2 linked regions of the Caenorhabditis elegans genome follow. The protein of the gene in region 1 purifies or fractionates together with the protein of each later gene. This does not show direct contact. Each region holds a gene or a part of one and is shown on either strand. Other genes may lie near its edges.

The links. The genes of interacting proteins can lie anywhere in the genome.
Region 2: the proteins of F32B5.2 (region 1) and cisd-3.1 fractionate together in Caenorhabditis elegans (co-fractionation; one large-scale study listed by BioGRID). This does not show direct contact.

What each region holds. Positions count from the first base shown.
Region 1 is NC_003279.8:2,695,163-2,701,217, reverse strand, and holds F32B5.2 (Glycoprotein), read right to left. Parts: upstream 3,820-6,055; 5' UTR 3,779-3,819; coding exon 3,638-3,778; intron 3,594-3,637; coding exon 3,538-3,593; intron 3,178-3,537; coding exon 2,889-3,177; intron 2,655-2,888; exon of another isoform or gene 2,506-2,654; intron 2,385-2,505; coding exon 2,291-2,384; intron 2,243-2,290; coding exon 2,131-2,242; intron 1,668-2,130; coding exon 1,460-1,667; intron 1,407-1,459; coding exon 1,263-1,406; 3' UTR 1,219-1,262; downstream 1-1,218. Other genes in the region: F32B5.1 (arginine kinase), read right to left, coding at 1-334, 616-798.
Region 2 is NC_003281.10:4,540,694-4,547,050, reverse strand, and holds cisd-3.1 (Iron-binding zinc finger CDGSH type domain-containing protein), read right to left. Parts: upstream 4,171-6,357; 5' UTR 4,170-4,170; coding exon 4,032-4,169; intron 3,987-4,031; coding exon 3,891-3,986; intron 3,840-3,890; coding exon 3,658-3,839; intron 3,484-3,657; exon of another isoform or gene 3,429-3,483; coding exon of another isoform or gene 3,356-3,428; intron 3,307-3,355; coding exon of another isoform or gene 3,103-3,306; intron 3,021-3,102; coding exon of another isoform or gene 2,531-3,020; intron 2,488-2,530; coding exon of another isoform or gene 2,366-2,487; intron 2,310-2,365; coding exon of another isoform or gene 2,206-2,309; intron 2,149-2,205; coding exon of another isoform or gene 2,077-2,148; exon of another isoform or gene 1,992-2,076; intron 1,336-1,991; coding exon 1,269-1,335; 3' UTR 1,026-1,268; downstream 1-1,025. Other genes in the region: M88.3 (RING-type domain-containing protein), read left to right, coding at 2,077-2,148, 2,206-2,309, 2,366-2,487, 2,531-3,020, 3,103-3,306, 3,356-3,428; mrps-34 (Mitochondrial Ribosomal Protein, Small), read left to right, coding at 4,605-4,694, 4,744-4,824, 4,871-5,001, 5,048-5,255, 5,336-5,512.

The DNA of each region.
Region 1 (6,055 bases):
CAAGATCAACTGGTGGTTGCTTCTGCTTTGGACTGAATCCGTGATAATCCTCAATGATCTTGTCGAACAATGGAGCGAACAAAGTGTAAGCTTCAGCGTCCGGAGCGTAGACTCCAACTCCGGCGTCCAAATTGTAGACACCTGACCGGATGCAGTCGTAAAGGGTTGCTCCGACCTTTGTGCGCTTTGTCTTAAGCTTCTCGACGACTTCCTTGGTCAAATGCTTCTTGAGCAGCGACTTGCACTTGGCTCCTTCTGGACCATTGAGCTTGGCGTAGGCCTCCTCGATCTTCTTGATCGTGGCAGCGTCGACTTCGGATTTGGCTTGAAGTTGCTGAAAAATTATAATTAGAGATTTGTAAAGCTTTTTCTGAAAAATCGACTCCCAGAATATATATTCTCATGTCAGAGTTTCAGCTCGCGCGTGGAACGGCTCAAACAGAAAAGTTGATTTACAAACTTCAAAATGATGACAAATCACGTGTTCTGGGCATACCGCTCCGGACGCAGCTGCGCTGGGAGCCCCCTCAAATTGGCTTCAGAGTTGCGCGGTCCCTGATTAAAGGGAGCAAGGAAATATTTCTGAAAATTGCCCTTTTTTGGCTTTAGAATTACCTGTGGAGTGAGTGTGTAGACTGCGGATCCGGCTCCAAGAGCAGCGAGCACTCCAGCGACATACCGCGAGTTTGTTGAACGGAGAAATTGCGATGCCATTTCGACGAGACGAAGAGTTGAGTGAGAAGAATCGAATTTCAAACGAGAACTTCTTCGGTAATAACCAATCTGAGCTTTTTTCATGACACGTTGACATTTGGAAAACACGTGGAAAGATTTAGAAATTAGATAAGAAAATTGTCACGTTTTTAAAAAAATGTTTTGGAAAGTTTTGTTCAAAATTTTTTTCTCAAGCTTTTGAATTTAAATACGTGAGAAGCTTGTTTTTATTTTTGCGCTGGATCGATGCACCCTATTTTGTGCGCAAAGATCAAAAGTTATTCTGGTGGGTCTCGCCACGATCTTTGGAGAATTGGTGGTAAACTTTCAGACTGTTCAGTGGCTTAGGCTTCGGCTTCGGCTAGGCCTAGACTATACTATTACCTACCTTACCTATCCTTAAACTTGCCTTTTTGGATAATTTCAAGGTCAGCACAATGATAACGACGTGTCTAGACACTTGTTTCCTCAAAACCTTCCAAATCCCCAGGACAAAAGAAATGGTTAAACTTTCGATTTTTTATTGCATTTCAAAAACTAGAACCTATTCAAAAACAGACAAAAAGTAAAAGAACAAAAAGACAAAGAAAAGATGATTTATCGGAGGAGACGGAAACCAGAACAAATGGACAATCGAGAGCATCGACTACTTTGGAGCACACGTAGTGACGGGATACAGCTGGGTTCAGGAGCTGGAAATTAATTTTTTTGTATAGAAAAATGATTTTTTTACAAAACCCTTTACCTGTGCACAAATCTCATGATCCCCTGGTATTCTTTTCAACGGAACATTCATCTCCTTCCACCCTTCAACTCCGAATGTTCCAATATGATCGGAATGGATTTTTGTGGATCCTTCGAAGATTCTATAACTTAAGCTGACACTATTCGATGAATATGTCCAATCATCTGCAAATCGGATCAGAAGCTCGGTGGAGTCACATCCATTCAGTCTGGAAATAAAGAATTATCTCTTTTTGAACTGTAGGCCATGTCAAAATTTTTGTTTTTCTATAGAAGGCTTATAGGCTTAGGCTTGAGCTTAGACTTAGGCTTAGGTTTAGGCTTAGGCTTAGTCTTAAGCTTTGGCTTAGGCTCAGGCTCAGGATCAGGCTTAGGCTTAGAAGGTAAATATATTAAAACCACAAGGTCTGGGTATGCTTTGAGTAGGCTTCGATGCACTTAGAAATTCTTATTTATGTGCCTACAAGGCAGGCGAAAAAGAAAAAGAAACCTAGGTTGCCTTCAAAGTAAGATGACATTCTTAAAGGCAGGCGGGTAGAAATTTGTTGCCTGCTTGGAAGCTTGTGTTCAGAGCAAGAGCTACAAATTTTACTGCTTTTTATAAAGCCTTTAATACGATTTATGTGAATATCCAAATTTCGTATTCCCATTTTTTTTTCTAAATTCACCCACCTCGATTCAATTTTCAGTAATCGTTTCAGCCAAACATGTTCTGATCCATTTCTCCTCATTTCTTCGCTCATCTTGACTATAAAGTTCTGAGTATCATTTGCCCAATACGTGCCTGAAAATTGGAGCTGCTGATTTTTCACAAAAATATGAAACAACTGACCATACTCTCCATTTCTGAACGTCTCGTATCGAATTGTGGATTTCCATTCAATTTGGTACCATTCATTTGATGTAAATTTGCATGCCACGTATTCCTGCAAAAAAGTTTAGATTGGGTTGAAGAAATTTTGAAACTTTTTGAAAAATAATTTATTTTTTTACCATTTCGACCAAAAAAAATTCCAAAATGTTTTATCACCTCAAAAACTCAATAAAGTTAAATCGGAAAAGCGGCAGATTTGCAACTTGCCGGATTTAAACATTTTCGGCAAATCGGGAAACCGGCAACTTGGCGGAATTAAAAATTTCCGGCAAATCGGCGAATCGGCAAAATTGCCGGAAATGAAAGTTTCCTGCAAAACGGCAAATCGGCTAATTGGCAATTTGCCGAAAATTAAAATTTCCGGTAAATCGCCATATTGCCGGAATTGAAATTTTCCGCTAAATCGGCAAACCGGCAGATTACCGGAAAAAAAATTTCCGGCAAATTAGCAATTTGCGGAAAATTAAATTTTCCGCCAAATCAGCAAACCGGCAATTTTGCCGATTTCATATGGGAAAAGACTTTAGATGACTTCTAAAAAAAAACCCAAGCCTACCGGATACACCGTTGGCACATTAACAATCGGACATTCTTGATTTGTCGAGTTGAACTCAATCCTCTTCTGATGCTCGATTCCCATATTCATTCCCTGTGACAATTTAAATAAATGCCTTGAGATCGATGATTGGCAAGTCTCGTAACCTCCAAGATCTGGAGATATTCGATATTCAGTTTGGTATCCTTTAAAAGTTAGTCTGCAAGAGTTCGCCGTGGCCAACTGCCTCCAGGATATTGAAACGCGACTTTGAAGAGAGGTGGTTGATTGGAGATCCCGGATTTCTTCACTGAAAATATGGTGTGAATTAGTAAGAAGAAGTTTTAGGATGCAAAACTAAGCGTACCTGCCTCACGCCTACACACGTACCTATTGCAAACCTGGCTGTGAACGAATAAAAAACTTTTGATTGGAATAAATTGTGACCGAAACATTTTTTTTTCAAAAAATGCCAGATTTTCCTCCAAAAAAGTAAAAATCAAAAAAGTTTTATACGAGTTTTGAATTTGAATATTAAGTTGAACCTACAAAAATTATAAAAAAATTAAAATTTTTCCAAAACTTTAACTGAAAATTTAGCAAAATCTAAAAATTTCTGGAATGTTTAATTATGGTATTTTGACATGTATAAAGGTATAAAACCGCTCACCGTATTCCCTTATCCGACCTCAGAGTGACACAAAATTGTACCGGGTAGGAGAAGAACTGAAATTTCGAATTTTTATCAAGTTTTTCAAAAAAAATCTCACATTCATATTGGCATGTGAATAGGTAGGAATATGGGAGCACAGGTAGACAGATACATCCTTCACAACTTCAGAATTGATGAGTCTCGCCGAGCTCAAGTAGGCCAGGGAGCCGGTAAAGATCAGGAATCGGATGGGAATCATGTTTTTTTAGCTAGACGGCTTCATAGTTAGGAGGGGTGTCTGGAAAAATTCAACGATCAATGCAAATCAAAAACTCCGCTTCAAAGGGTGTGAGAAAAATGGTGCAGCTTCTGCTGACAGCCGGAGCCGTCGAGCAGCAGCAGCAGCAACAACGAACAAATGAATAAATGCAATTAAGAAGTGGACGTAGTGTATATATACACACAAATAGGGAGGGGGATATATGTCTTAGAAGAAGACAATGTGCTTCCATCAGTGAGAAGATACGCGGGGGCCATGTTTGGTGTAATTCGGTTATTGGGTGAAATGTTGCGGCGGCGTGGCGAAAAAGTTGCGCAACGAGGTCTTGTATACGTTTTTGAGCTGACCGCAACGTCAATTAGGAGTCGAAACAGGGGAGATGGTATGGGGGAGGGGAAGGGGACTAGGAGGGAAGATTCCTAGGCCACTTGTGACGTCAAACCTCTTCCATTTGTAGGTTTGGATTTAAAGAGCACTTGTATTTAACGGCCATATCTTTGCGGCTATGTTTTTTGTCGCAGCTTCTCCTGGCCGAAGGAATCCTGATGTGGCCGTGCAAGACTGTCGGTTACTTGTGACGTCCATTAGTAGGTTCGGATTTAAAGAGCACTTGCGACGTGGAACCTTCCAGGAATCACGGCCTGATATGGCCGTGCAGACTTGACAGTCCCTTGTGACGTCACGCCTTGTCACCAGGCGAAGGTGTATGTCAGTGTGAGAGTTCTAGGCCACAGTTTCGAAAGTTATGATTATTTTGATCGAGGCGGATGGAGGCTACTTTCCACAGAACCGTACCCTTGCGAAGTCAAATATAGTCCACACATCCCATCAGTTTTATACTTTGAGTGGGTGTGTGAGATTTCTAGGCCACCAATGACGTCACTTCTTCGCCACATGCAAGGATGCCCTCCATTCTGGAATTCTGGAAAAATGAAGTTTTCTAGGCCACAGGTGACGCCAAATCTTGTCCACAATGCGAGGAAATACACCACATATGTTTTCACATTCAGAGTGGCCGAGTTGGATTTTTAGGCCACTGATGACGTCACATCTAGTCCATAAAAAGCGAGGTTATAGCCTATAAGGTTTTAAAGTTCAGTGGCCGAGTGAGATTTCTAGGCCTCAAATGACTTCCGCACCCCATGTGTTTTTCCATTTTGAGTGGCCGAGTTGGATTTTTTTAATCCACTGATGACGTGATACCTAGTCCACCAGCCAATGAATCACATCTTAGTTTTTTGAGTAACCGTGTGAGATTTCTAGGCCAATAGCTTCCCAATAGTGGCCGCAGGGATTTTTAGGCCAGCAGTGAGGCCACTCTTCTGCGAGCTTAATGTCGGCTAGCCGCCAAAGGAAAAACTCGTCCACTTAGCAGATCTATCGCGGGAAGCTCGTAGACAAGGGGTGTGACAAAACTGAACGACTGAAGACGGAACACGTTAATCGAATTTCTAGACTCCCCGGGGGATTTCGAAAAACAAAAAAAAACGATTCTGAGGTGCGAGAAAAAGCTTGGGAAAAATTGAATTAAACGGAATTTGTACTTTTCTAGCAAAATTGACCAAAAAGTAGGGAAAGTAGAGGGAAAGAAGCTGACCTCCTTCCCCATCTGCCAGGGCATTCGTCGCTATCATAGAAAGCGATCAGTATGGGGAGTGGAAGGAGAGTCACCGGAAGCGAAAGAGCAACGAGACGATTCTCTGACACAACTTCTTTTGATTGACCCCAAGGATGGGTGGCAGAGGATGTATAAACGCATTCCAATGTTCAACAAAAGCTTCTGGGGGGGGGGGGGGGCATTGGAATTGCGCTTGCAGCAACCGACACCTCCCAGGCCGCCCACAAGGTGTCGGCCGCTATAGCTATTCAACATTTGAGCAGCAGACACCTTACTGGCCAGGTGCTAAAAGTTCAAGACGGGAGGTGTCGGTCGCTTAAGTTGTTAAGTAGGAGTTAAAAAGAACGCACAACCGACACCTTGCTGGATTTTTTGAGACGTGACCCGGGAGGTGTTTGCCGCTTTTTTCAGATATTCCGATTTGGCAATCATGAGATATAATTTTTTGACAAAGCCCTGCTGTACATCATCTTTTTTAAAATTATATTTATATTTAAATTGAACAATTTACGAGCCAATGACGTCACTAGTGGTTTAGAAATTTAAGCTTTGAAATAATAAAATCCAAATTAAAGCAGATATACTGAACATAGTCTCAAAAGTCAAATAAGAAAACGGGACAAATTGTTCTCATCAAC
Region 2 (6,357 bases), on another chromosome or scaffold:
TAAAAAGAAAATGACGAGAGGCGAAAAAGGTGAGCGAGCATTTTCGCACTTTTCAATGAGTGTTATATCATCATGTTGTTATACGTTTGACAGAATCTGGTTCAACGATGCATGCGCGCTCTGTTGAGAATGTATGTACGGGGTGGGATAACTCTGGGAGTTTTTGAATTGTTGATAAAAAAAAGGTGTCACTATTAAAAAATTGTGAGCTGGAAATTTTATAGACTAAAGTTTGTGCCATTCGGCACTGATTTTAGATATTTTCCAGGCCATTTTTCCAATTTCGATACATTTGTGTAATTCTCAAATTGAATCAAAGAAAACAAGAAAAAACGTTATTTTATAGGTGTTTATGCAAAACTACGGTATGCGGTCTCGCCGCGACCGGGTTATTTTCAAATAAGAGGCACTGAAAAGAGTGTGCGCCTTTAAGGAGTACTGTAGTTCAATTTTCTTTGATTTTTCATAATTTTGTTGCTTGTTTTCCCAATTGAAAAACATTTAAAACAAGTGGCACTACAGTACTATTTAAAGGCGCATAACCCTTCGCGTGTCCTTCATTTGAATAAGTTTTGGTCGTGTAGAGACCAAGTCCGTGTCTTGAGAAGTTTGGCAAGTGACCACCAATTTCAGCCGTTTCAGTAAAAATCAAATCAATAAAATTCTAATAAAATATGAACAGCTAGACTTGTTTCGTTGGTGAAATATCAATATCCAGAGAGAAAATCCTAAATTGTTAGGCATGATGAATAGAAGGATGAATGCTTATGTAAATTACAAGTGTCTCTATGTCTATGAGAAGATGTTTCAAGTATGGTTTTACGGCAAAAGAAAAGAAAGCGATATATTCGTTTTCCCAATTTTCTTTCCATAATTAGTGGGAAGATCGTTTGGTTTGTGAAAAGTGAATAGGCAGGCACCCCCGAAGAGAAATTGAGGGAATATAAGAGAGGAAACAAATCTGTTGTTTTTTGTGTTTTGGTTTTTTTTTGAGATTTGATGGATTAACTTCAGTGCGAATGAGAAGACGTTTTTGTAACTTTTAATTTTTTTTTTCTTCCTTCTCAAACCTGATGGGAATTTGAGATGGGATTAAAGACACAAAACCTGTAAGGAAACAAAGAAAAGTACAAAAGAATGATCGGTGTGGGGGATTAAACTAGATACGAAACCAAACAAAGCTATGAAAACAGGGGATATCTGAATAGCCTAATTCAACAAAAACACAATAATAGTAAAGACCTAAAACTATATGGAGTTGGTCATAATTAATCGAAAAGTCCAGCTTTCTTGTCCTCGTCCGTTACGGTTTTGTGTGATCCATCACAGAATGGTCTGAAATTTTAGTTTTTATATTTTGAATAGAAACTTAACGGTAAATTAATCAAAAACTGCAGGTGTGCATATATTTTCGAATTTTCGTAACTATTACGCCAAAAATACGGTACTTTTTTTAAATTTAAAAATGTGTGCGTCTTTAAAGAGTACTGTATTTCAAACTTTCTGTGGAATTTTTAATAGTTTTTCTCACGACTTGCTAAAATTTATGCAGCTTTTTATTTTTATATTTGAGTTTTTAAAAATCAATGAAAATTTCGCAGCAACGAAATATTAAATTTACAGTAATCTTTAAAGACGCACACATTTTTAGAATTAATAAAAAATTGTCGTGTCGAGACCGGGTACCGTATTTTTAGCGCACAATCCGCAAAATTTTGCGCCTGGAAACAATAATTTGTTTGAAATAATTTTTTATCCGAATTAAAAACGAGACGTATGAAATTTGAAAGATAATGTTTTAAAATAAATTTTGATCTGAAATATTTTCTGTTAATAAATAATAAAATTTTGAAAATTATTTACAAATATTAAACATTGTTTTTAGCGTGTAAAAGGTTATGAACTTTTCAAAAAAACTTTTGCACCGATTTTTTACGTTAATTTAAAAAAAAACACTCTTGCTAATCGGTATCAAATTTATTATTTATTATTCATATCATCAAATTTGGTGATCTTCTTCAGTCCGCCCGTCATTTGTGTGATTCCATTGAAACGAGGACGGAAAATCATAAAAAGATGACTGATTTCAATTCGAATGAAACAAACAATTCACTTCTCTCATCTGCAAGCTCATTTTCTTCTTTTTTGGTGAGTTTTACTATTTATAAAGTTAACATTTTCAATATAATATTAGAAAATTTTCAGCCAGTACCTGGAATTCTGGAGCTCATTCCTCCATTTGTTCGGGATATGTGCAAGTCGCCGAAAAACGTGGAAATGAGAGTTGCATTCGATGCTCCAACTCAACAGTAAGTATACTTATTATAATGAGAAACCTCCTAAAGATATTGACTTTTTATTTTAGATCGACTTATACATATTCTATCAATTGGGAAGACAATGAGAACTCGGACGACAAGTATCTCAAAATTCTCCAGAAATCGATCAGTAGATCCACGAGTATTGGCTCACTCAACACTATCAAATGTGAGTTTGACTTTGGAAAATAGCTTTACAAGAGATTTTTCAGCGACCACTGTCGTCCATGATGTCCCTCCGCCAGTGACTGCAATCTGTGATGGTCCATGCAAGAAAGCATTCCCATCCAATCTTCTGAATACAATCGGAAGATGTGGACACTATCTGTGCACTGCTTGCTATGGAATTCTCAAAAATTCGGATGGAACAACTGGATGTAGTTCGAGAATGTGTTATTGGAAGGGAAAAGATCGGAAAGAAGCGAAGAAAAACTTTGAGAAAGAAGTTTGCCGTAAGCAACGTCTCCGTGCCCGTGAAATGAAATCTCGTGGAATTGATGTCAAATCAGCTTCATCTGCATCGAGCCGTACGAGTCCTTCTCCACATGAAAGTTCTGAGGAGACGGATTGTGCTGTCGGGTCGGTGATGGACAACCTTTCCAATGCAAAGGGAGACTTCCGGCTGATTTATCCATTGCTTCAGGAAATGATTGGTGTAAAGCTGTATGTTTTGGAGCAGCTGGATATTCTCGGAGTTCAACAGTGAGTTATCATATTTTTAGGCAAGCCAGGCATGTAGGCAGGCACATGAGCAAACATACCGTGATTCTTTTTATTTTTCCAGCAACGTTGTCGAATTGGAAGTACAATCGACCACAAAAGTCAACAGAGTGATCACTTCGCTTCTTCGCGAATACTTCCAAACGTTGCCACCTGATCAATCGGGAGTACTGTACCACGTGGAATTGGAGCCTGGATGGTCACGTAGAGTTCGAAGAGTTAGGACTAAACAGTACAACTCTCTGGAATTGTACAACTTTTCCAAGGTGTAAGTGAAACTGAATTCGTTTAGTAGATCAAATTTAAATTAATTTCAGCGATGAGTACATTGTGTTTGTGATGGATTTCGGTGCATTTCTCAAAAACGGAGTGAAGATCAATTTTGTGTAGAAGACATGAGAGAATAATGCTTTTTATGAATTGAATAAAGGGTTTCCGTGGGATGGTTTTTTTGTATGAATTTTTTTGCAAGTCATTCAATATAAGGTAATCTGAACATAACCTTCCAAATTAAATACGTCTCATTTCAAAGTCCGAAACTAGTTTAACTTAATTTCCTTAAGCTCTAGGAACACGATTTTTCGCAACTTTTTAACTTTTACAAAAAAACAAATCTTACCGATTATTTGTTTGCTTGCAATTGCATAGCCACACCGTCATGTCCTTATCAGGAATAAATCGTACTGGTTTCAATTTAAGATCGGGAATTCGAATTGAATTGTGGGATCCATCGCAGAGTGGTTGCGATCCACTATATCCACAACTGCACCATGCGTAAACTTTATCCTTTTTCATGTGAACCTATAAAAAAATTAGCTCAGAAGGTAGCATACGAGTAATATATTTGAATACCTTAGTTGGTAGCTTACTATGCACTTTTCCAGTTCCGGGAAGCTCGTGGTTGGTTCCTTGCAGACCGTATTCCTCATTTGGTTTTTTGTCTTGAAGCTAAATATTAATCAATAAATATTTAAAACCTCCGAAATGACTCACAATATGATATTTCAGAACTGGTGGTTCGGTTCCTACAAAATGTGTTCCCTTTCTTTGAAGCCTGTTTGGACCAAATCCGGTTTTCTGACTCTTTTTGATGACTGACAAACAGATTTGAGCCGATTGAGTTATCCGCATTCTGTAAAACTGATAACATTCACACATAACTGAGTTAATGAGTACGAGTGATCATTATAGAAGTGAAATACAATTTAAAAGCAATGTTTGATGAATTTTTAAAAATAACATTTTCTTTAAAACTGTTTTGCACCGAAAATTGTGGCATTTTTGTCATTAATTACATGAAAAAACTGTCTAAAGTTTTATTTAGTTTGGGAAAATGAAATTAAAACATCTAAACACATGCTTAAAATAATTTTAAAGTTGAAAATCTGAATAAATAAAAGGAAGAATATTTCAAGGGGCGGGGCTAAAACGGCTGCACTGCGCCTCATTGCAAGCACGCCGCGCATTTTTTCTATTCTTTTTCTTCTCTTCGAGCATTTAATTTGTTTCTCTAATTTTTTCCTTTTCTTCAAGATTCACAGTCAATTTTAAAAGTTTCAGATAAAAATGTCTTCAAACTTAATCAGATTTGTTGGAAATCATGATATTGCATCGGAAGGAAAGTTTTTGTTCGAGATTCTCTCACAACTCCGCAACGTATGTTATTCTGCTGTTTTCCCCCTTGATTCAATTGTTTTTTTTTCAGTTTGGTGTCGGTCGTCTTGTTACAAAGAATGAATGGACACGGAAATGGCCGAATAATCCGTCATATATGAAGATTTTGAGGGCATTCTTGATTTTTAGCATGAACAAAGATCACTGAAACTTTTCAGGCAGAGCCAGGCATGGACCGATGGTTATTCGAAGGAAAAGTTTATGCTGAATGGGTCTTTCGTGGAAAAAATCTTGGCGTTTATGAGTTTTCAAAGGATTTGAACAGAAGTGACTGGCAGCTGGTACACAAGTAAGCAATTCTTAATTGAGGATTCGAAATTTTCGTTTATTTTCAGACATCAAGAAAAATCATATACATCGAGCACAACACCAATGCAAGATCTTGTTCTTCCCGATTCGTTTCCATTGCCACCACTTCAAGTTCATTTGTCACAGAAAAGTGCTCGCAAAAATGGTTTGGATGAGAAAACTGTGTCAAGACGGGCTCCGCTCACACTTAGTGTCGATCCAGAGTTCCAGCACTTGAAGCCGTTCATCAAACAGGTGGGATTAACTATGTATATGCTGAAATAAAAAACTCCGAAACTCACAAAATTTTATTTTTCAATTTTCAACCATTTCAGGAAGCTCCTTCAACAAAAAGCGTGTCGATCTACGAGGAAGTTGATAAGAATGCACTTTTGGATCTTTACGGAAACGAATTGCCAGTTAAAGTTGAAGCTTGGAATGCAGGACCAGCAATGTTCCAACCACGATTTAATGCCACAACGATGAGAGTTGAAGAGCAACCACCGAAATGATTCTCTTTCAATTTAATTTTTTTTAAATTTAAGTTTTCGATTGTAGCAGTTGTTTTTAGACTTTGTTTTCTTTTTGTTCTGTTTCGTTAGAGTTTTAAAATTAAACTATCATGAACCAAGTCACATTGTTCCAAGACTACAGTGAAGTGAAATTTGTGATAGTTAAAAAAAATGTTAATGATTAATTCAAAAATACAAAAATGTATAAAATATAGATCACAACTTAAAGAGAACGCATTCGTTATAACAGTATGAGTTGAACAAGTTGAATCATTAACAGAAACGAACCAAACATCAGTGGCGAATTTGCGTAAATAAACTCAGGTTTGAATACAGTACTTACTGTGACTAAATAAGTTGCAACAGCGGAGGGAAAATATTACTGACGTTGTGAAAAAGAGAGTTGTGAAAAATGAATACTCATAGTCAGTCCAGAAATCTAATGGTACAACTATGTTTTTTGGTGGCTTTAACTTTAAAAATTGAAATTGCGCGTGGAATTCGGTGCATTTGGAAAATTTGTGCACCCACCGTAACACAATGCATCAGATTTCCTGCGCAACTTTATTCAAGATTATTTGATTATTACACTCCACTAAATATTTAAGATGATATTTCACAATAATTTTTACGTTTTGGATGCACAAACAACACAATGATGTAAAACAGATTGTGATAAGATAAGAGCCTATTTAGAATCAGTACTTTTTTTTCAGAAAAGCACCAAACCATAACTTCCTACAAACCACATTTCTGATTTATAAATTAGCATTGTCTATAATTCTCTACGGCTCTCTTTTTTAGTCTAGTTGTCTCTAGGAAACTTGGGTTTGTGATTGACTATC